Linked DNA regions of Arabidopsis thaliana. The protein of the gene in region 3 interacts with the protein of the main gene of each other region in a pairwise test. Each region holds a gene or a part of one and is shown on either strand. Other genes may lie near its edges.

Region 1 (7,464 bases), 5.3 Mb from region 3:
CGAAATTGTTAGGTCTGACTTCTGAGGAACTAAATGTTGTTGGCCAGTGTTAGGGCTGAACCTTATGTTCAAGATGATAAAGAAACTTAATCAGACCAGACTATACTTAGTCCATTTCATTTCATTGTCCAGACTATGCTCTGTCATAACTACCTAACTTTTATTTTACTTATTGCGACTGTTATAGGCAATGCTTTTACTTCTTTGACCTGAACCAATAAGTGTTCACATTCTGGATACCACTTGGGTTTGAAATCATCAGCTAACCACAAAATCTCTCTTTGCAGGTTTTTGTCTTGTTGTGGTACAACCAAATTCAGATTTTTGTAGACAGAAAAAAACATATATGTTCTATTTTGTTTGTGTAACATTTATACCATTGATTTTGGTGAGGGGTGAAGCAAAGATATCATGCAGATTCTTCTTCTGCCACAGGGTGAGTTGTGACTTTATTCATTGGTTTATGACTCAGATTGCATTTGGCGTGAAACATTCATACACAAACAACAAATTGTTTTTTTTTTCTTTTTTTTTTCATTTTCTATTTTTGGGCCCTTAGCAAGATTTTGGTGCGGAGTCAGTCATTGTCTTGTAATTCGTTGTTACATATAAAATTTAATGATGTTTTTGTTACATATAAGCAAGTCGTATCAGTGTATTGACGGAGTCAAACTTCCATACCTCAGCCAGAAAACATAATGTACAACCATTTCTGTTATATTCTCTGTGTCATTGAGTAAACTGAATTCAACCAATAAGAAAATATACTCTAAAAATAATTGATAAGAAACATGACATTTAATTTTTGCATAGAAAATTGAAAACAAGGGAGTATTACTATCTTCACATGAAACGGATAATGATGTAATCAATGACTCGAGGAGAGAAAACGTGTTTCTTACAACACAAATGCACATTTGGGACACGGGCCATATTATGGAGATACAACAGGTCGGGTTGGGTTGCGGCTAAGACCAAGTCCCAAACCCAAAGGAACATTGTCACTCTTTGACTTACTATTATGGCTATGGCTGCAGTTGGCAGAATGAACATGTGCTGACTGTGAATTATGTGTCGGGTTAACATCGATAGCAACATGGCCATTGCCATTTTGAAGATTTGGATTCCGCTGCATCTGCATCATGCTAATACCCTCTGGTCTCTGTGTTGCGTCTTCTTCATGACACTCAATATCTTCGTTATAACCTTTTACTAAGAAGTCCGAGCAGTTTCTTCTGCACCCGAGATCATAAGGATTCCTAAACCGACCACCTGGACCTCTTAGGTAGCTGTACCGCAGGGCGTTGGCCATTTCATTTGTGGTTATGTTCCTTGATATCTGTAAGGGAAAATAGGGAGAATGGATCTTCAGGATGAGGCAAAACACCACGCCATGAAAATCGAATAATCTAGTCTACTTAGTGAGTTTTAGCTCTGGAGCTATTCTAGAGATGAGTAATCCGGGGAAGCAAAGTACGAAAGAGCAGCCTTTGTATGAGGAACAAAGATGTGCAGATAAGGAAAAAGGAATGAGGGCTCACTTGTGACGCTTGTATGACTGTTAAGACGGCGACAGAAAAGAAGAGGCAGAATTCCACTAGCAGAAAGGATAAAGCACCCACATGATTACTAGCGACATGGCTCATCCATGCTCCAAAAGAAGATGGAGCTGAAGGGTCACTCAAGACTCCTGCATGTAGATAATACAACATTTACATTTTTGTCCGAAAGTTTTCTCTACATTTACATATAATGATTAAAGGGCATTTTCCACTACAAACATACTTGCAAGAGTGACGCCACCAGTTATCAGCATCGCTAGAACTTCAAGTAGAAGAAAAAGAAAAAATTCCCACTTGTTTTTCTGCAAAATAGGTTGGAAAACAAGGACAATCCACAGATTAGTATCACAGACTAGTATCATGCTCGAGCTGCAAGACTAACAAATCAAACCACTAGCAACCAAAATAAATAGAAGAGGTGATATGACACCAAGAAGCATATCTGTTGATCTGTATACCCAAATATGCAACACAAATATACCACTAAGCATTTTCGAAAAGAACTGTAAGTTAGGTCACACCAAAAGAGACAATGAAGAGCAAGGCAGATTTAGTTTATATGAAATGTTAGTATCAAACAAAAGCCTGATCCGTCTACTCCTATTTTGCCAACTTCTATGTCAAAAACTAAAATAGGAAAGGAACTGTACTTACTTTTCCAACACAATTTGATACCCAAGGACAATGGTGATCAAATTGCTCTACACAACGATCACAGGTGGAACAGTGCTTAGCTCGAAGAGGTCTGATAATCTGAATAAAATGAAACACAGTGGACCAAAACAAGTAAATATGTAGCATCGATGATTAAGTATGGTGTTAAGATTGAAGAAAGACATAAAACGGAATTTGAGCAGGTACCTTGCATGTTGCACAGAGCTGTGTCCAATTCCCAGCAAGCAAAGCAGGATTGTTTAGCTCTATTTTTAAGAGTGGTTCCTGTAAAGGGGTAAGAAAACCAGTCAGACACTTGAACAAGAAAATAGTACTCAAAATCATACCGAACCGGATATAATATGGACAATTATGTAAGTTAAACTTGAGAATCAATAAGCTACTAACATCATCTTTCATGGTTTGCGGATCATGGATATTCATTCTGATGTAACCTGGATCCTTCCTGCAGAAAAAATAAAATTACAATATAAAACAATAAGAAAACCCGCTTCTTGTGATACAAAGGTATTTACACTACATGGAAAAATAAGGAGTTCACAATAGAAACTACAGCTGGAACGAAGTAAAGGCCTTAAAATCCCAAACTGCTATCGCTAGGTGATGAATGAAACCATGAAGAGAATCGGCTTAGAATACTATAATGTAATATCTTAATCTGCAACCGTCAGGTGAAATATAAGAAATTTATGCATAGTGAAGAGCCAAAGATACACTATACTAATAATCAGATAACAACAGAGAGCAGACATGGCTACTTTTAGAAGATATACGAAATGGAAATCGAGGAAGGACAGGGTGAGCATATACCTGCTACAGCGGTAGAACAAAAATAATCCTGCAGTTGCAAGAATGAATCCCAGCCATGCAAGCGCACCAATCCCAGTCGTTAACTTTGGCAGATTGGATGCTGCAATGGTCAAAGGGTTCATAAAATGATAGGCATGCATAGAACAGTTACTTGATATGATGCAGACAAAGGAGAATTGAGAAGGCCAAGGTAACTACCCAAAACAACCGAATTCGTATATACGAGCAGAAGCAGCAGGATCATGATCCAAAGAACTGGAGCGAGTCCCAACTTTGACAATCTTCCGAGGGGACTGCTTCCGTCACAACGCTTTTCAAGCAGGCTTCGAGCATTACCCTGCACAGTAGCGTTTATAAGACAGATTCAGACAAATATCGACACAATTTTCTCAATAATTTAAGCATAATGCTGCTCATTTTGAATGGATAAGAAAATCTACAGACTTGGAAAAACTAACATAGTACAGCTATAAGTAGAGTTAACTACACCAGGTATGCAAAGGTCAAATGAGATGCACATAACTGCCAATAAAATGATTCAACTACTAATTATTGCAAGCAGTACAGCCACTACGAAAGCATCAAATCAAACAGTATGAATACATATTGCTACACAACAAACAAGTAAAACAGATACCTACAAGGAAAAAAGAAACTTGTCTGTGATTCTTTTCAGCAGCAAGTTGCGCAGGGGTTAGCCCAGTCTTGTCAGTAATCATCAAATCCTCTTTCTTTCCAGCCTGCACCAAGACAGTGCAAGCCTCCAAATTACCTCGGATGGCAGCCCAATGCAGAGGAGTGCAACCTGATAACAGAATCAATATAACGGAGAAGATGTTAGAAACGTATAGTTAATCTAAGAAAATAAACAAAGAAGATTTAAAAAAAAAATATGTTTGTAACCACCTTCTTTGTCTTGTCGTCCTCTATATGCATCTAGAAATAAAAGTAGGCGAATGGAATCTGCAAAACCTTTATATGCAGCCCTGAATTTCTCAAATTATGAGAAGAATATAAAGACGAAATTAGAACTGTCTTCTGAAAAGATACTGTAAAAATAGGATAAAATCAAAAGGTCAACATAAGAAAGCTAAAAATCATGCAGTAGAATAATCCATGTAACGGTAACGAAGTCTCAGTAAGAAAAACGGGAGAGAAAATAACCTATGTAACCTTAGTCTCTAGATGGAAAACAGTAATACGTATTCACAAATCTTCATAACAAAAACTCGAGAACTATCATAGGCAAATAGTTGACAAAAATTAATTCTAATCCACCCAGTATACTTGGCAACTAGAACAAAATTGAACGAAGAGATATTAAATCTATAGGAATAATAAGAAAAGGGAACAAATAAAACCAATTATCCAGTCTCCAAATAAGCGTGCAAGGCTAAACAATTGTAAGAAAAAATAAAAAGAAGCCAAAAACCAATTACTAAGTAACAATTTCACGAAGGCAAGCTTTGCAGCAAGCATACCAATGCAAGGGGCTTCTTCCATCATTATCAGGCACGTCAGGATCAGCATTCCACTTTGAGACAACGTGACAAAGAAAAGCAGTCTGGCCATACTGTGCGGCAACATGTGTTGCCTACAAGCAGTTCAAAATTAAGTATTAACATACACCCATTGAGAACTAAACAAGAAAAGAAGGGAAATTTGATAGAAGTCAGCAGAGAACATGGACGCGTAGTTAAAGAAGAGATATGAACCTGATAGCCATACATATCCGTTGCATCTACTCTTGCACCCTCTTGTAATAACAGTTCTGCAACTTGTATCGCACCACGAACAGCACTCCAATGCAATGCAGTCTGTCCAGTATGATCCGTCGCGTTTACATCTCCACCATGCTGGAAAAACCAGAAATCGAGAAGGATCAGTTTTAGAAACTTGAAAACCACTAGTTCAAATCTAATTTAGCAATCAACAAACAATTCGTAAAATGACACAAAACCTCGATAAGGTACTGGGCAACGGCGACGCGGTTGTTCAAGGCAGACCACTGAAGAGCATAGTAGCCAAGAGCATCAGGCTCGGAAACAGAGGAACCCTCACACTCAACCAATCTATGAAGCTTCTCCAAATCACCATAAGCGGCAGCAGTATAGACATCGTTCTTCAAGCTCTCTTCTTCAATCCCTTTAGAACTCGATTCCCCATTCTCCTTGGGATTCGATTGGATTTCTTCCACCACCTCAATCTCCGATGACATTTTTTTCTTTTCTCAGAAGAAATTGAGATCGATCGAGATTCGATTCCCTCCCTAATGGATTTTGACCTTTGATTAGTCTCCCCCGAGCATAAATAAGTCGTGAGATTTGGGGGGAAATGAGGGAAGGAGCTAGGTTTTTTCTGGGGGAATCAGAGGAAGAAGAAGAAGAAGAATATGATTGACGAACTCAAAAAATTGACTAAGAATCGGATTAAGACGGGTCAGAGACAGACTTGCTCTCAATTCTTATCGTTCATTCATTTCATTAACTTTTTTTTGTCAAACAAAACCCAACATTATTTTATTTTTTGGTTTTAGTGTTAACCAAAAAAAAAAAAACCAACATTTATAAATTGATTAATTTCATGATCATTTTTTTTTGTATGTAATGGGAAATATTATACCTGGCTAGTTGAGTGATATATATATAGTTCAATGGAATATGAACGAATCAAAACATCTGTCTTAATCATAAGAGATACTTTTTCATTTTTCATATCTTGACAAAAAGAGTTATATTATAAATGTTAAGAAATCTTTTATAAAACCTTGAACTATTGAATCATTTTGGGACAGTGATTTCTTATTTTGATAAAAAAAACACTGGTTTGCATATATATATAAAAAAAGTATTATTTTGAAAATGCATACTCTTGTATTAATAGATGAAGAAACATAATGGAATGATTTTAGAAGAAAAAAAAATATATGAAGAAACATAGTACGTTTACTAAACCAGAGAAATTGCTTTTAAATAATAATAATTTTACAAAAGTCAACTAAGTTCCGCGACGAGATCTCATCATCTCAGTTGCTTATAGTATGTGTATATATCACTGTTAGTTTTACTTTAATTCACTAACAACTAGTGTAACATAATTATTGATGAATCGGGAAAGTCTAAGCAACTTTCACACATATTAGAATAGATTGTAGATGGGCTTCATATCATTCGGATTGTATAACCCAAAGTTTTGTTCAGTCCCGACCGGCTTTTGATTTTCATTGAAAGTTGCAAACAAAAACCCGTCGATGCCTTTGTTAGGCCTTTTAGGTGTACCTTTTCCGCTTGCTATATGCTTCACGAAATTTCTGTTATAGGTACCCGCGATATCCGGCGTGGTAATGTTTCCATTCCCGGCAGATGGCCATCCGGTCTCGGACACCACCATTGGTAAATCTTTAACGCCTTCCTTCTCCATTGCCCACACGAACGCATCAAAGATTGCATCAAACATGTTTGAATAGCCCAGTGATCCATCTTGTACCACGATGGCCTCAGTGTTGAAGGTGGCATAGTCCAAACGGATGCTAGATGGGTCGGACGCATAGGAGAAGTAAGGGTAGATTTTTACGAGGATAGGCGAATTTGTTTGGGATAATAGTTTCAGCACGGGGACAAGTTGTTCACGCGCTTGAGACGTGAACATTCCTGCGGAAGGTGGGTATGATTGCTCGAGGTTCCACATAGCCACCACCGTGCTTATCGAGATAGGAAGATTCCTTGACTTGACGAGGTTGGTGAGAGACTGCATGACTGGAAGCACTTGAGGACCGATTGGTCCGGGGATGACTTCGTTACCAACAGTAATGAACGCGATGTTGATGTCGGATAAGTAAGGCTCGATGTTGGTCGCAAACCAGCCCTTAACAGCTTCTTCGCTAGCTGAAAGAGCAGCCAAGTCCTGGTCCCTAACTCCTACTGTGACCGCAATATCACGATGGCCACGTAAAGCGTTAAGAACCTCAGTGTTTGGGTCGAAGATTCGGATTTTAGTGATGTCTATGGACTTGTAAAGGGTTATAACTTTTGACGGAGATGGGAGGTTATCTCCGAGGAGACCGTAGTTCAAGCCAATGCTATTTGCTGCGTTTACGAAGCCAATGCTATTTGCTGCGTTTACGAAGTCACTATTGTTGTAGTTGACAATCACCACAATGCACGAGAAGAAGAACAAGAAGAGTTTCTTAGGCAAATAGAGCATGATGAAACTTTTTTTCTGCAAAATGTGTGTATATAGAGATATCCTAAGATCGTACTTCTATGAAGAAGAAGAAGAGAACCAAACTTGATTTGTGTTATTATGTTTTGTTGCAAAATATTTGTTTGCATATATAGATGCATATCTGAGTCTATTTTCAGTCTTATTGGTATGAATAAAATAGTAAAATTCTTTTATTTTGGTTCTTGGTGTAATC
Region 2 (4,680 bases), on a different chromosome or scaffold from region 3:
GTAGCCATAAGAGAGCAGGGACAGCATCCGCACTTTCAACACAAGCACGTATATCTTCGCTATGATTGCACAAGTTCCTAAGGATAGTTGCAGAGTCTTCCCTGGCTTTGGCCGACCCAGTCTCTAGAATTTGAACAAGTGGAGGTATACCTCCAGCAGCAGTGATGGCCCACTTGCTTTCATCATTTTCGTTAGACAAAAGGCAAAGAAGTGCAACAGCACATTCTTGCTGCTGTTCGGATGAAAGACCCAAAAGAGATATTAGCAATTGGATCCCTTCACGGCCCTGTAGTGCTTGCCACAGGCTACCTTCATGGTTACACAGCATCAGAAGAGCCTTTACAAGCTCATCTTGAACCTCATTCACCGCCATCGTTATTAGACCAACAAGCAAACGTTTTGCATCCGAGTTGGAAAGTTTGACAGAGAGTATGGAATTCCCATACAAACTTGCAAGTGCTTCAATTGTACGTTCTTGCACCAAGAATGGTAGACGAGGCTTAAACTGCTTCAGCAGAGTCTGTTCAACGACCAATGGATCTGATGCTCTTGTAGTTTCTGCCTTGCCATCATATATCATCAATGCTGAAGCTAAAGCCCCAAGGGTGTCGGCAGTCTGAGCAGGCGAAGAGCAAGATTCAAGGCTCTGACCAAGGCTTGATATGACATATGACAAACCACCGGAAATATTAGCAAGGGCACACATTGCATTTTCTTGTAATGCTTGCGCATATTCACCTTGCATGAATTCTTTAGATGGAGCTATTGTTGCATTTATTAAAACAGGAATACCATTAGAATTAGCGATTTCCCGCTTTGCTTCCTTAGATTGAGCAGAAAGCGACTTGAGAGCAGCAGCAGCCTCTGCCCTCACTGGGGCTTCATTACCCGATCCTAATAATTTGAGAAGCTGTTTTGTAATGTCTGCAGTCAATACACTGGAACAAACAGAGGCGTCTTCCATCATCATACACGCAAGAAGGAAGCAGACATTAGATAGTGTACTTGACTGCCCGCTTGTGAGCAGCTTCACAAGTACATCCACTCCCCCAGCTCGAATTGTCTCAGACCAAAATCCCTCTGTGGTACTAGAAAGGTTCTTAAGTGCACCAGTTAACAAACCATCAACCTCTCCTTTTTTATTTCCACTGCGCAATTGGTCCCACAGAACCGGTACAACTCCCTCAGTGGAAAATATTTTTGATCCAACATGGTCTTTAACCCCACCTTCAGAAACAGCATAGATTGTCTTTGCTGCAGCGATCTGCCCTTCGACTGAACTGGACTTGAGAAGACCAAGCAATGGAGGAATGCATCCCCCAAGTAACACCTTAACTCTAAGTTCGTTCTCCTTGCAGAGTGAACCCAAGACGGTTGCAGCTTGTATCTTCACTCCAACTGATCCCGATCGGAGAAGAGAGACAAGTACTGGCACAGCTTGGGAGTGTGATCCGACAGCACTGAATGCATTCTCACGCATTTCTATAAGGTCCAGTAACTGCTTCAGACAATATTCTCTTTCTTGTGCAGATGATGAACCTTGGCGCAGCTGCTCAATGCATTGGGCAACACTTGCTAATGTCCCATCTGGATCTTCCATGCTGGTTGTCCGGTCTCTGCAGGGGATGGGGAAAGTTAGATACTAATTCGCTAATAGGTGTGCCTTTCTGCTTAAAATGTCTCATTTGAAAGGATAACATAGGAAACCAATCCAGATAATATTAATTTCCACAGGCATTGTTAAACCAAGATGGTGGTGCAACAAATACAGATAAAACCTCAATTTTATCACGATGATTAGCTCCCATGCAGTACCAAATACATATATGCGTTACCTCAAACTCATCTTTGTGGTTGAATGTGGAGTTGGGGGCTCTGAATCATGCATCTTCATATCCCCATTTCTCTCCTGCAATCAAGACCAAACAACAGAAAATAAGTTAAAAGAGCAACAAGACCTTTTCGCTCCTATGCAATGGAAAAACTATAACCTTTATCATGACACTCTATCAGATATAACTGACTGGTACAAAGCCATTAATTAACAATGGACTTAGCTCAAGTACTTTTTTCAAATCAGATTCAAAATGCAAGGGACATATCAGCTTAATCATCCTGCTAATACACCAGATCTGACTTTGCAACTCAGAAAGATTGCAGTATATCAACTAAACAAGCTTTTCCATAAACCCGTGTGATGAATGTTAATACTGAATCAAGTAATTATTACCGTGTCACTTGGGGCAAGGCCATTTCCATTAGTGGAAGGAAATCTCCATCCAAGAGCACTTGTCATATCTTCACTTCACTTAAAAAATTCTCAAATCAAAAGTAGACCCAGAGACCTTGCCCCCTACCCAGATCTACTCAAATCAGATCGTCAGAACATCAACAACACCCCCTGCATAATATATAAAAAGGATCAATCTTTACAATAGAAAACGATACAGTGAAGTAGGAAAAGCTCAATGCAATTATATTATAATTGAAGACTAATAGTATAAAAATATCACTCTACCTAACTGAATTCTACTACTGCTAAATCTCGATCCGAATCGTTTAACATTCCAGATTCGAACTAAAGCTAAATGAGGAAACTTTTTAACCAATAGGAACTCAAAAAACAGGATTCTTCAGATCTAGATCATAATTGGATCTCTATCAATGAAATCAAACACAAGAGATCCGATAATTCAAAAAGCATGCATTTAGACATTGATAGATCAAATTGAACTCACCTCAATGCAACAAGGAGAAGAAGATGAACAATCTGTTACGTAGAAGAGAAGCGAATAAGACGAGAGAAAGGAGAGAGGAGTGAGAGAGAGGTTTCTTCTTCTTCTTCGTCTGTGATTTTGACTCAACAAAGTATAAAGCGGGGGAGAGAGAGAGGGAAGAGAGAGAGCTGTGTGTGTGCTGGTGAGAGAGAGTGATCAGATTGGAGCCGGCTTTGTCCACCGACAGACAGCGAGTGGATTCACTTAGCGACTCGAGCCGGCTTGAGTCGGTTGTCGAGCCGACAGAACTAAACGACTCTTGTACAGCGAATGGTATACTTAATTGTTTTTTATTACTTTCTTTAATCAAAAATAAATGAGGAAATTGACTTTTAGCTGTGAATTAATTATTTACATCAAACATTTTTTTTGTTAACAAAAATTATATAACTGTTTTTTTCCAGCAATTAGCCAATTAGTAAACATTTTGGTTCATTTGTTCAAGCAAAATTTTACATTTTATAAATTTGATTAACCTTTTTATCCAAAACATCCGTAGAATTGAAACAATATAAGAAAAAATATTATACCACAAAAATTACACACACGAATAAAAATATTGTCTAATTTATTTCTCAGATAATAACTTAATTAGTTAATTGTCTCTAAGTTTAGATTATGTTACCAAATTATCACTCATGGGGTTATCTCGATTTTTTAGTGCAACACAGTCATTACAAATATTTATTTAATATTTTTCAAAAGGATATCAAAAATAAATTGTCTATTTTATTGTGTCATTTAACATGTTGAAGTAAGTTATGTAATAATCAAAAGTTATCTCTTACAAGATCAATCGGATAAACAATCAAGAAAAAATAATAAAATATACTGATGAATTAATAAAAAGAATAATAGTAAGATCTGCAGTAGTTGTTGTTATTGGTCCTATTATGTTGATTTGTTACCAAACTTGATTAATTAGCCCATAACAATGGCGATAGTAAAGGTTTCTATCTACCACCAATTGTCATCCACAACATAATCATCACGAATTCTATATATATGGACAAAAAGTATAATAACTATTTTTACGGCTTCCTTCACATCTAAATTATTTTCCATAATTGTTCAAAAATCGCGACAGCAGTTCTTTTCGTCTGAAAGTGAGAGAAGTCGGGGGAGCAAATTATAAGGATGGTAAAACATATAACGTGGGAGAGAAAAAGCACATGGCCTCATGGCTCATGAGAATCAAAGATTCTAAGTTTTAACTATTCTTTTGTTTTTTCCTCGACGCATGTTTTGTTTCTATCGACAACTATGCCCATAAAAGCATATGATATGCACAATTATGATAATCATATGAATGCACATGTGCTCTTTCTTCCTAGCCAATTATGATCATTGACGATCATCACTATACCATAAAAATGACTGGACAAAGTCATATTCTTTGATGCTTCTTGTCACAACTTGATACATCCACTTTCCCGAACCGTATAAAACCCAAGAAGCAAAATTCTCATATAGATCTCATAGATTCGTTCGAAATATGTTAAATTTGCATCGGATATAGAAGGTGAAGGCTGCGTCTCCGGCCGGTGAACCGTCGTTTTACTGATCTTGTTTCTATTATGTTCCGATTTGGACCACTTTTTTGTAACCCGTGAAATTCTTAGCCCATCTGTCAATAGACCGTTTGGAAATGAATATCTAAAAAAAAAAAAAAAGATGTGAAGTCCATATTTAATCAGTGCCCGGCATTGGAACGTAGTAAGTTTGAGGAAGCATCAACTTGTAGCCGTGAAATTAATATTATGGTTTTTAGTGGTTTTAATTTAGCGTGTCATAAGTGAGAGTAAAAGAACTCTTTGATATTTCATTTTCATACATATATAATTTACTTCAATATAATGGTTTGATGAGGGTCTTATCATACATTTGATTTTTTCTTTTATTT
Region 3 (7,498 bases):
TTGGAGTTACAGGAGGTGAAGATCCATTGTGATCTGAAACTTGACAATTGATATGTCTAATAAGATTTCTACGTTTGAACGGAAACGCACACAACCAAAATAAGACATGAATGAATTATACGGTTATACCTGTTGAGATGTCCACAAAGGAATTCGAATTATGTGGCCACTCATCTGGGACCTCAACTGTTGTAAAATCCATTACACTTAAACAACAAAAAGCGAATCAACTTAAAAATGATCAAGCAAAAAAAAATCAAAGAAACGTAAACATAGAATGATGTAACAGAAAAACCCTAAAAATACAGAAGATATACGAGATATAAAAACTGGTAAGATTTTTATTTACTTTTTTTTTTTTTATACTCCTAAGATTTAGCTATAACTAAACGTATTTATATTTTTTGACCAAAAAAAAAAAAAACGTATTTATATTTATCTCTACAATAATTTCGATTAAAAATATCTAACAAAAAAAAAAGTTGTGATAATAATCAGTGGAAAACTATCATGAAGAGACAAGCTAATGTTCTTTAATTGAAATCTTAGAAAATAAAAAAACTAGGGTTGCGTAAATTTTAAGACTTTCTTATGTCACAGAACTGAACTTTTTTCACTACATGTAAACAGAAATTATAACTCATTTGCAACGGTGAAGAAACATAGACAAAGACCCTCCATAAATCTCAGAAAAACAGAGCAAGTAACTCAGATCATAAGATCTACAAAACACATCAACGGAACAAACAAATATCAAACCCTGAAATCTGATTCACATAGGACCAAATAAACATGAGATTTCACTGACCTTGAAAATTGATATGATCGAGGGAACAAAAGAGCAGATTTACAGGAAAAGTGAAGGAGAAACAAAGGAAGGTTTAAGTAGAGGATTGCTAGGGTACGAGAGTTACGAAGCAGAAGGTGGAAAGGTTTAAAGGGACGACAAAGAGGAGGGAAGATTTGTCGGATAGCGAAGAGAAAGTGGCGCTCTTTGGGATTCAAATGTTTGCCATTTTCTTCTTTTGTCTATCTGACAGTCTGTTCTTTGCTGCACTAGTGGCCACACATCTCCACATGCACCACCAGTTATCAAAGTTTGACCTATTAATTATTGGGTTCGGTTCGATTCAATTTTCTCTCGTAAATAACGTAAACCGAACATATACCAATTTTGTCTGCAAAGTCCAACAAACCCATTTTCTCGATTCTGTTGGGCTTGATGATACTAGAGTTGGACCTTTATTTTTTCAGCCCGCTGGTTTTAGCCTATTTTGATATACTAGTAAGTAAAGCATCACTATCAATATATTTTGATTTATTCATTGGACTAATCCGTTGATTAATTAATATTTTGAAGTTTTATTTTTGTCGGCAAATACTTTTTAAGTTTTATCTGTAAGAAAGTTAGTGACGATGAATATCCTTTACCCCACTACTTGTGATTTGTTGTGTTCTTCACACTTCTATTTTAGTTATATCACTATCAAATATCAATTACTATTTTGATTTAGTCACTAATTCGATGATAATATATTTCTAAGGATATTTTAAAGGTTTATCGGCCGTTTTTTCACTTTTTTTACAGCCACTGTAAAACTGTAACTAGAAAAAAATCGACTGTGGAAGTTGTCGGTGGTGGTGGTGGTTGTTGCTTGGTTGGATTATGATTTGTGACAAATATATTAATATTTTAAAAATCTGGAAGAGTGACGAGTAGAGGAGACAAATAGCTTGCTCTTTGCATCTTCTTAGCCATCCCAAGATTCTCCTCTTCGTCTTCCTTATAAACTATCTCTCTGTAGAGAAGAAAGCTTGGATCCAGATTGAGAGAGATTCAGAGAGTCACATCACCACACTCCATCTTCAGATCTCATGGTAAAGCTTTTAACTCTTCTTACACTCATGATCCATTCTCAGATTTGACTTCCTTTACTCGGATCTCCTCAGATCTAATCGTAGTTTCTGTTTTTGATAATTCCGATCAGATTTGAACTATTCCGACGTTTCGGTGTTGGAAGCAACTAAGTGACAAATGGAATCCGAAGGAGAAACCGCGGTATGCTTTTTTGACTCTTGCTTCATCATTATACTTACCTTTATCGAAATCAGGAATTATATGTACTGAAATTGATTGATTTGGGTGTTGAATTGTGTATTGGAGAGATCTGATTTCAAATTTTCTGTTGAGGTTTCTAATTTTGGCTTCATTGATTCGACTTGATTTGTAGGGAAAGCCGATGAAGAACATTGTTCCGCAGACTTGCCAGATCTGTAGTGACAATGTTGGCAAGACTGTTGATGGAGATCGTTTTGTGGCTTGTGATATTTGTTCATTCCCAGTTTGTCGGCCTTGCTACGAGTATGAGAGGAAAGATGGGAATCAATCTTGTCCTCAGTGCAAAACCAGATACAAGAGGCTCAAAGGTTCTCTTTTGATCCTTCTGAAGTATACTGTCTTCATTGTTCATCGATAGTTTATCAGTATGTTTTGAATTTTGGATCAGATTGGTATTTATAGCAATTTGCTAATTTCTGATTCTAGGTAGTCCTGCTATTCCTGGTGATAAAGACGAGGATGGCTTAGCTGATGAAGGTACTGTTGAGTTCAACTACCCTCAGAAGGAGAAAATTTCAGAGCGGATGCTTGGTTGGCATCTTACTCGTGGGAAGGGAGAGGAAATGGGGGAACCCCAGTATGATAAAGAGGTCTCTCACAATCATCTTCCTCGTCTCACGAGCAGACAAGATGTAAGGCATTGCTGTTCATTCTTCCCTCTTAAGCATTCGCATCCTCACGCAATTTAGTTTTGGAATCTGATTTTGTCATTTGCTTATTTACAGACTTCAGGAGAGTTTTCTGCTGCCTCACCTGAACGCCTCTCTGTATCTTCTACTATCGCTGGGGGAAAGCGCCTTCCCTATTCATCAGATGTCAATCAATCACGTAAATATCCTTTATTTCTAACTCTCTCGCCAACACATATATTTGTACCTAGGCTTCTCTTTTATGTCAAAACTCTAAACAATAAAATCTGTTGTTGTCATTCACGCTGCAGCAAATAGAAGGATTGTGGATCCTGTTGGACTCGGGAATGTAGCTTGGAAGGAGAGAGTTGATGGCTGGAAAATGAAGCAAGAGAAGAATACTGGTCCTGTCAGCACGCAGGCTGCTTCTGAAAGAGGTGGAGTAGATATTGATGCCAGCACAGATATCCTAGCAGATGAGGCTCTGCTGTGAGTTCTTGTTTTGTAATCTTGTTTGTTCTGTCGTGGTGTACCGAGCGTTTTTCCTATTAAGCAATGTCCTGATACTCATTTTCCAATTCTTTATTTATTGTACAGGAATGACGAAGCGAGGCAGCCTCTGTCAAGGAAAGTTTCAATTCCTTCATCACGGATCAATCCTTACAGAATGGTTATTATGCTGCGGCTTGTTATCCTTTGTCTCTTCTTGCATTACCGTATAACAAACCCAGTGCCAAATGCCTTTGCTCTATGGCTGGTCTCTGTGATATGTGAGATCTGGTTTGCCTTATCCTGGATTTTGGATCAGTTTCCCAAGTGGTTTCCTGTGAACCGTGAAACCTACCTCGACAGGCTTGCTTTAAGGTAAGTTCTATTTCCCCATTCTTCTGAAGCAATTACTCAAAGGATTGTTTGCCTATACTGTTTCCCATTTTAATTTGATCATGGTCAATTTTTGGGACAGATATGATCGTGAAGGTGAGCCATCACAGTTAGCTGCTGTTGACATTTTCGTGAGTACTGTTGACCCCTTGAAGGAGCCACCCCTTGTGACAGCCAACACAGTGCTCTCTATTCTGGCTGTTGACTACCCAGTTGACAAGGTGTCCTGTTATGTTTCTGATGATGGTGCTGCTATGTTATCATTTGAATCACTTGCAGAAACATCAGAGTTTGCTCGTAAATGGGTACCATTTTGCAAGAAATATAGCATAGAGCCTCGTGCACCAGAATGGTACTTTGCTGCGAAAATAGATTACTTGAAGGATAAAGTTCAGACATCATTTGTCAAAGATCGTAGAGCTATGAAGGTAAGTTTGTAGTTTTAGTCATCTAGTCACCCTCACTTTGATTTTAGTGTATGCTATATTGACCTTTTATTTTCTTTCAGAGGGAATATGAGGAATTTAAAATCCGAATCAATGCACTTGTTTCCAAAGCCCTAAAATGTCCTGAAGAAGGGTGGGTTATGCAAGATGGCACACCGTGGCCTGGAAATAATACAAGGGACCATCCAGGAATGATCCAGGTAAGAAATTGGTTTTAACTATGGAATCGAGAATGCTCTCTCTTTCTCTCTAGAAGTTCATTATTGAAGTACCATTTGCTGAATGCAGGTCTTCTTAGGGCAAAATGGTGGACTTGATGCAGAGGGCAATGAGCTCCCGCGTTTGGTATATGTTTCTCGAGAAAAGCGACCAGGATTCCAGCACCACAAAAAGGCTGGTGCTATGAATGCACTGGTAAGTTTCTGATCTTGGATTTTTGACTTCTTCATTCTGACCAATTTGTTAGTCTAATCTGGGTACTTTTCAAATGAATAGGTGAGAGTTTCAGCAGTTCTTACCAATGGACCTTTCATCTTGAATCTTGATTGTGATCATTACATAAATAACAGCAAAGCCTTAAGAGAAGCAATGTGCTTCCTGATGGACCCAAACCTCGGGAAGCAAGTTTGTTATGTTCAGTTCCCACAAAGATTTGATGGTATCGATAAGAACGATAGATATGCTAATCGTAATACCGTGTTCTTTGATGTAAGTCACACTTACCTATACTTGCGTCTAATTTTCTTGTTCTTTCAAATTGCTTTTAGACACGAATATACATTAAACTCACAGTTTCTTGAGTTTGTCGTAATTTTTCCATGATATGTTTTCCAGATTAACTTGAGAGGTTTAGATGGGATTCAAGGACCTGTATATGTCGGAACTGGATGTGTTTTCAACAGAACAGCATTATACGGTTATGAACCTCCAATAAAAGTAAAACACAAGAAGCCAAGTCTTTTATCTAAGCTCTGTGGTGGATCAAGAAAGAAGAATTCCAAAGCTAAGAAAGAGTCGGACAAAAAGAAATCAGGCAGGCATACTGACTCAACTGTTCCTGTATTCAACCTCGATGACATAGAAGAGGGAGTTGAAGGTACAACTGTTTTTATTTCTTCTTTGGTTTCCGTTATACCCATATGTTGCTGTTTGAAATATTGATCCAGGGGAGGGGATTATTTATAGTTGACAGTTGTCTAAATAGTTTCCATACTAGGTATCTCATCATGTCTTAACTATTTGGCATTTGTGAAACTTAGGTGCTGGTTTTGATGATGAAAAGGCGCTCTTAATGTCGCAAATGAGCCTGGAGAAGCGATTTGGACAGTCTGCTGTTTTTGTTGCTTCTACCCTAATGGAAAATGGTGGTGTTCCTCCTTCAGCAACTCCAGAAAACCTTCTCAAAGAGGCTATCCATGTCATTAGTTGTGGTTATGAGGATAAGTCAGATTGGGGAATGGAGGTATAATCTCATTTGAACTCCTACATGAATCTGCATTGTTCTGACATATCCACTTTGGCATTCACTTTGTTTATATTTTCCGCTGTCTTTCTTCAGATTGGATGGATCTATGGTTCTGTGACAGAAGATATTCTGACTGGGTTCAAAATGCATGCCCGTGGATGGCGATCCATTTACTGCATGCCTAAGCTTCCAGCTTTCAAGGGTTCTGCTCCTATCAATCTTTCAGATCGTCTGAACCAAGTGCTGAGGTGGGCTTTAGGTTCAGTTGAGATTCTCTTCAGTCGGCATTGTCCTATATGGTATGGTTACAATGGGAGGCTAAAATTTCTTGAGAGGTTTGCGTATGTGAACACCACCATCTACCCTATCACCTCCATTCCTCTTCTCATGTATTGTACATTGCCAGCCGTTTGTCTCTTCACCAACCAGTTTATTATTCCTCAGGTTTGACACCTCTCTCTGTCTATCTATCTCTATCTCTATCTCTATCTCTAGAACAAACCTTAATTACGTTCTGTTTAACTGAAACCATGTTGTGTTTGTCATCTATTTACGGTTCCAAATCCTGATCAGCTGGTTCTATTGTTCCTCTTTTGCAGATTAGTAACATTGCAAGTATATGGTTTCTGTCTCTCTTTCTCTCCATTTTCGCCACGGGTATACTAGAAATGAGGTGGAGTGGCGTAGGCATAGACGAATGGTGGAGAAACGAGCAGTTTTGGGTCATTGGTGGAGTATCCGCTCATTTATTCGCTGTGTTTCAAGGTATCCTCAAAGTCCTTGCCGGTATTGACACAAACTTCACAGTTACCTCAAAAGCTTCAGATGAAGACGGAGACTTTGCTGAGCTCTACTTGTTCAAATGGACAACACTTCTGATTCCGCCAACGACGCTGCTCATTGTAAACTTAGTGGGAGTTGTTGCAGGAGTCTCTTATGCTATCAACAGTGGATACCAATCATGGGGACCACTCTTTGGTAAGTTGTTCTTTGCCTTCTGGGTGATTGTTCACTTGTACCCTTTCCTCAAGGGTTTGATGGGTCGACAGAACCGGACTCCTACCATTGTTGTGGTCTGGTCTGTTCTCTTGGCTTCTATCTTCTCGTTGTTGTGGGTTAGGATTGATCCCTTCACTAGCCGAGTCACTGGCCCGGACATTCTGGAATGTGGAATCAACTGTTGAGAAGCGAGCAAATATTTACCTGTTTTGAGGGTTAAAAAAAACACAGAATTTAAATTATTTTTCATTGTTTTATTTGTTCACTTTTTTACTTTTGTTGTGTGTATCTGTCTGTTCGTTCTTCTGTCTTGGTGTCATAAATTTATGTGTAGAATATATCTTACTCTAGTTACTTTGGAAAGTTATAATTAAAGTGAAAGCGAATATTTTTTTGTTTCTGTAGTTAAAGCAGTGGTTATGATTTTTCAATTTTCATTAGTGAAAGCAGTTACGTTTGATCATAAGCACTAAACTACGATGCAAAGAGAAATTATTTTTAACTGGGATTCAAAAGTAATAAGATAGAAGTAGAATTGATCAAAGAAACTTTTGGTCGGAATGAGGAATCATTCAGAGACATTGGAAGTAGCCTCTGAGGATGTTCTGTTTTGCTGTAACTGCTGAGACTGATCCAATCTCCTCACATCTTCAATCATCCTCGCGACCTCTTCCATCTTTGGCCTCGATTCTGGATTCCTTGCAACACAGGCCAACGCTAGCTGAAGCATCTGAACCATCTCCTCTTCAATGTTCTGAAACTTCAAGAGCTCCACATCGAAAACCTCTGCAGTCCACTCTTCTCTCACAACAGACCGAACCCATCTCGGAAGATCAATGACGACACGCTCATCCTCGAGACCAGGCTGAGTTAAAGGTGTCTTCCCGGTTAGCATTTCGAGAATCACCACACCAAAGCTATAAACGTCTGATCTTTGACTGACTCTCCTCGTCTCAAT

The links. Proteins that work in one complex are often made in the same cells at the same time.
Region 1: the proteins of CEV1 (region 3) and TIP1 interact in a two-hybrid assay, tested with the Arabidopsis thaliana proteins (one study listed by BioGRID).
Region 2: the proteins of CEV1 (region 3) and CSI1 interact in a two-hybrid assay, tested with the Arabidopsis thaliana proteins (one study listed by BioGRID).

Annotation. Positions count from the first base shown.
Region 1 is NC_003076.8:6,874,573-6,882,036, reverse strand, and holds TIP1 (Ankyrin repeat family protein with DHHC zinc finger domain-containing protein), read right to left. Parts: upstream 5,597-7,464; 5' UTR 5,266-5,596; coding exon 5,008-5,265; intron 4,904-5,007; coding exon 4,763-4,903; intron 4,642-4,762; coding exon 4,529-4,641; intron 4,034-4,528; coding exon 3,954-4,033; intron 3,853-3,953; coding exon 3,689-3,852; intron 3,385-3,688; coding exon 3,246-3,384; intron 3,148-3,245; coding exon 3,048-3,147; intron 2,683-3,047; coding exon 2,625-2,682; intron 2,502-2,624; coding exon 2,424-2,501; intron 2,316-2,423; coding exon 2,217-2,315; intron 1,865-2,216; coding exon 1,786-1,864; intron 1,691-1,785; coding exon 1,542-1,690; intron 1,340-1,541; coding exon 935-1,339; 3' UTR 531-934; downstream 1-530. Other genes in the region: BG5 (beta-1,3-glucanase 5), read right to left, coding at 6,186-7,250.
Region 2 is NC_003071.7:9,404,409-9,409,088, reverse strand, and holds the start of CSI1 (binding protein), read right to left. Parts: upstream 3,031-4,680; 5' UTR 2,739-3,030; intron 2,402-2,738; 5' UTR 2,297-2,401; coding exon 2,231-2,296; intron 1,910-2,230; coding exon 1,836-1,909; intron 1,617-1,835; coding exon 1-1,616.
Region 3 is NC_003076.8:1,529,628-1,537,125, reverse strand, and holds CEV1 (Cellulose synthase family protein), read left to right. Parts: upstream 1-1,567; 5' UTR 1,568-1,878; intron 1,879-1,988; 5' UTR 1,989-2,035; coding exon 2,036-2,059; intron 2,060-2,231; coding exon 2,232-2,427; intron 2,428-2,545; coding exon 2,546-2,751; intron 2,752-2,844; coding exon 2,845-2,947; intron 2,948-3,059; coding exon 3,060-3,237; intron 3,238-3,345; coding exon 3,346-3,612; intron 3,613-3,712; coding exon 3,713-4,058; intron 4,059-4,138; coding exon 4,139-4,276; intron 4,277-4,364; coding exon 4,365-4,490; intron 4,491-4,571; coding exon 4,572-4,784; intron 4,785-4,910; coding exon 4,911-5,172; intron 5,173-5,335; coding exon 5,336-5,538; intron 5,539-5,634; coding exon 5,635-5,985; intron 5,986-6,140; coding exon 6,141-6,725; 3' UTR 6,726-6,994; downstream 6,995-7,498. Other genes in the region: AT5G05180 (myosin heavy chain, striated protein), read right to left, coding at 1-33, 130-202; RUL1 (Leucine-rich repeat protein kinase family protein), read right to left, coding at 7,109-7,498. UniProt on the Arabidopsis thaliana protein: Catalytic subunit of cellulose synthase terminal complexes ('rosettes'), required for beta-1,4-glucan microfibril crystallization, a major mechanism of the cell wall formation. Involved in the primary cell wall formation, especially in roots.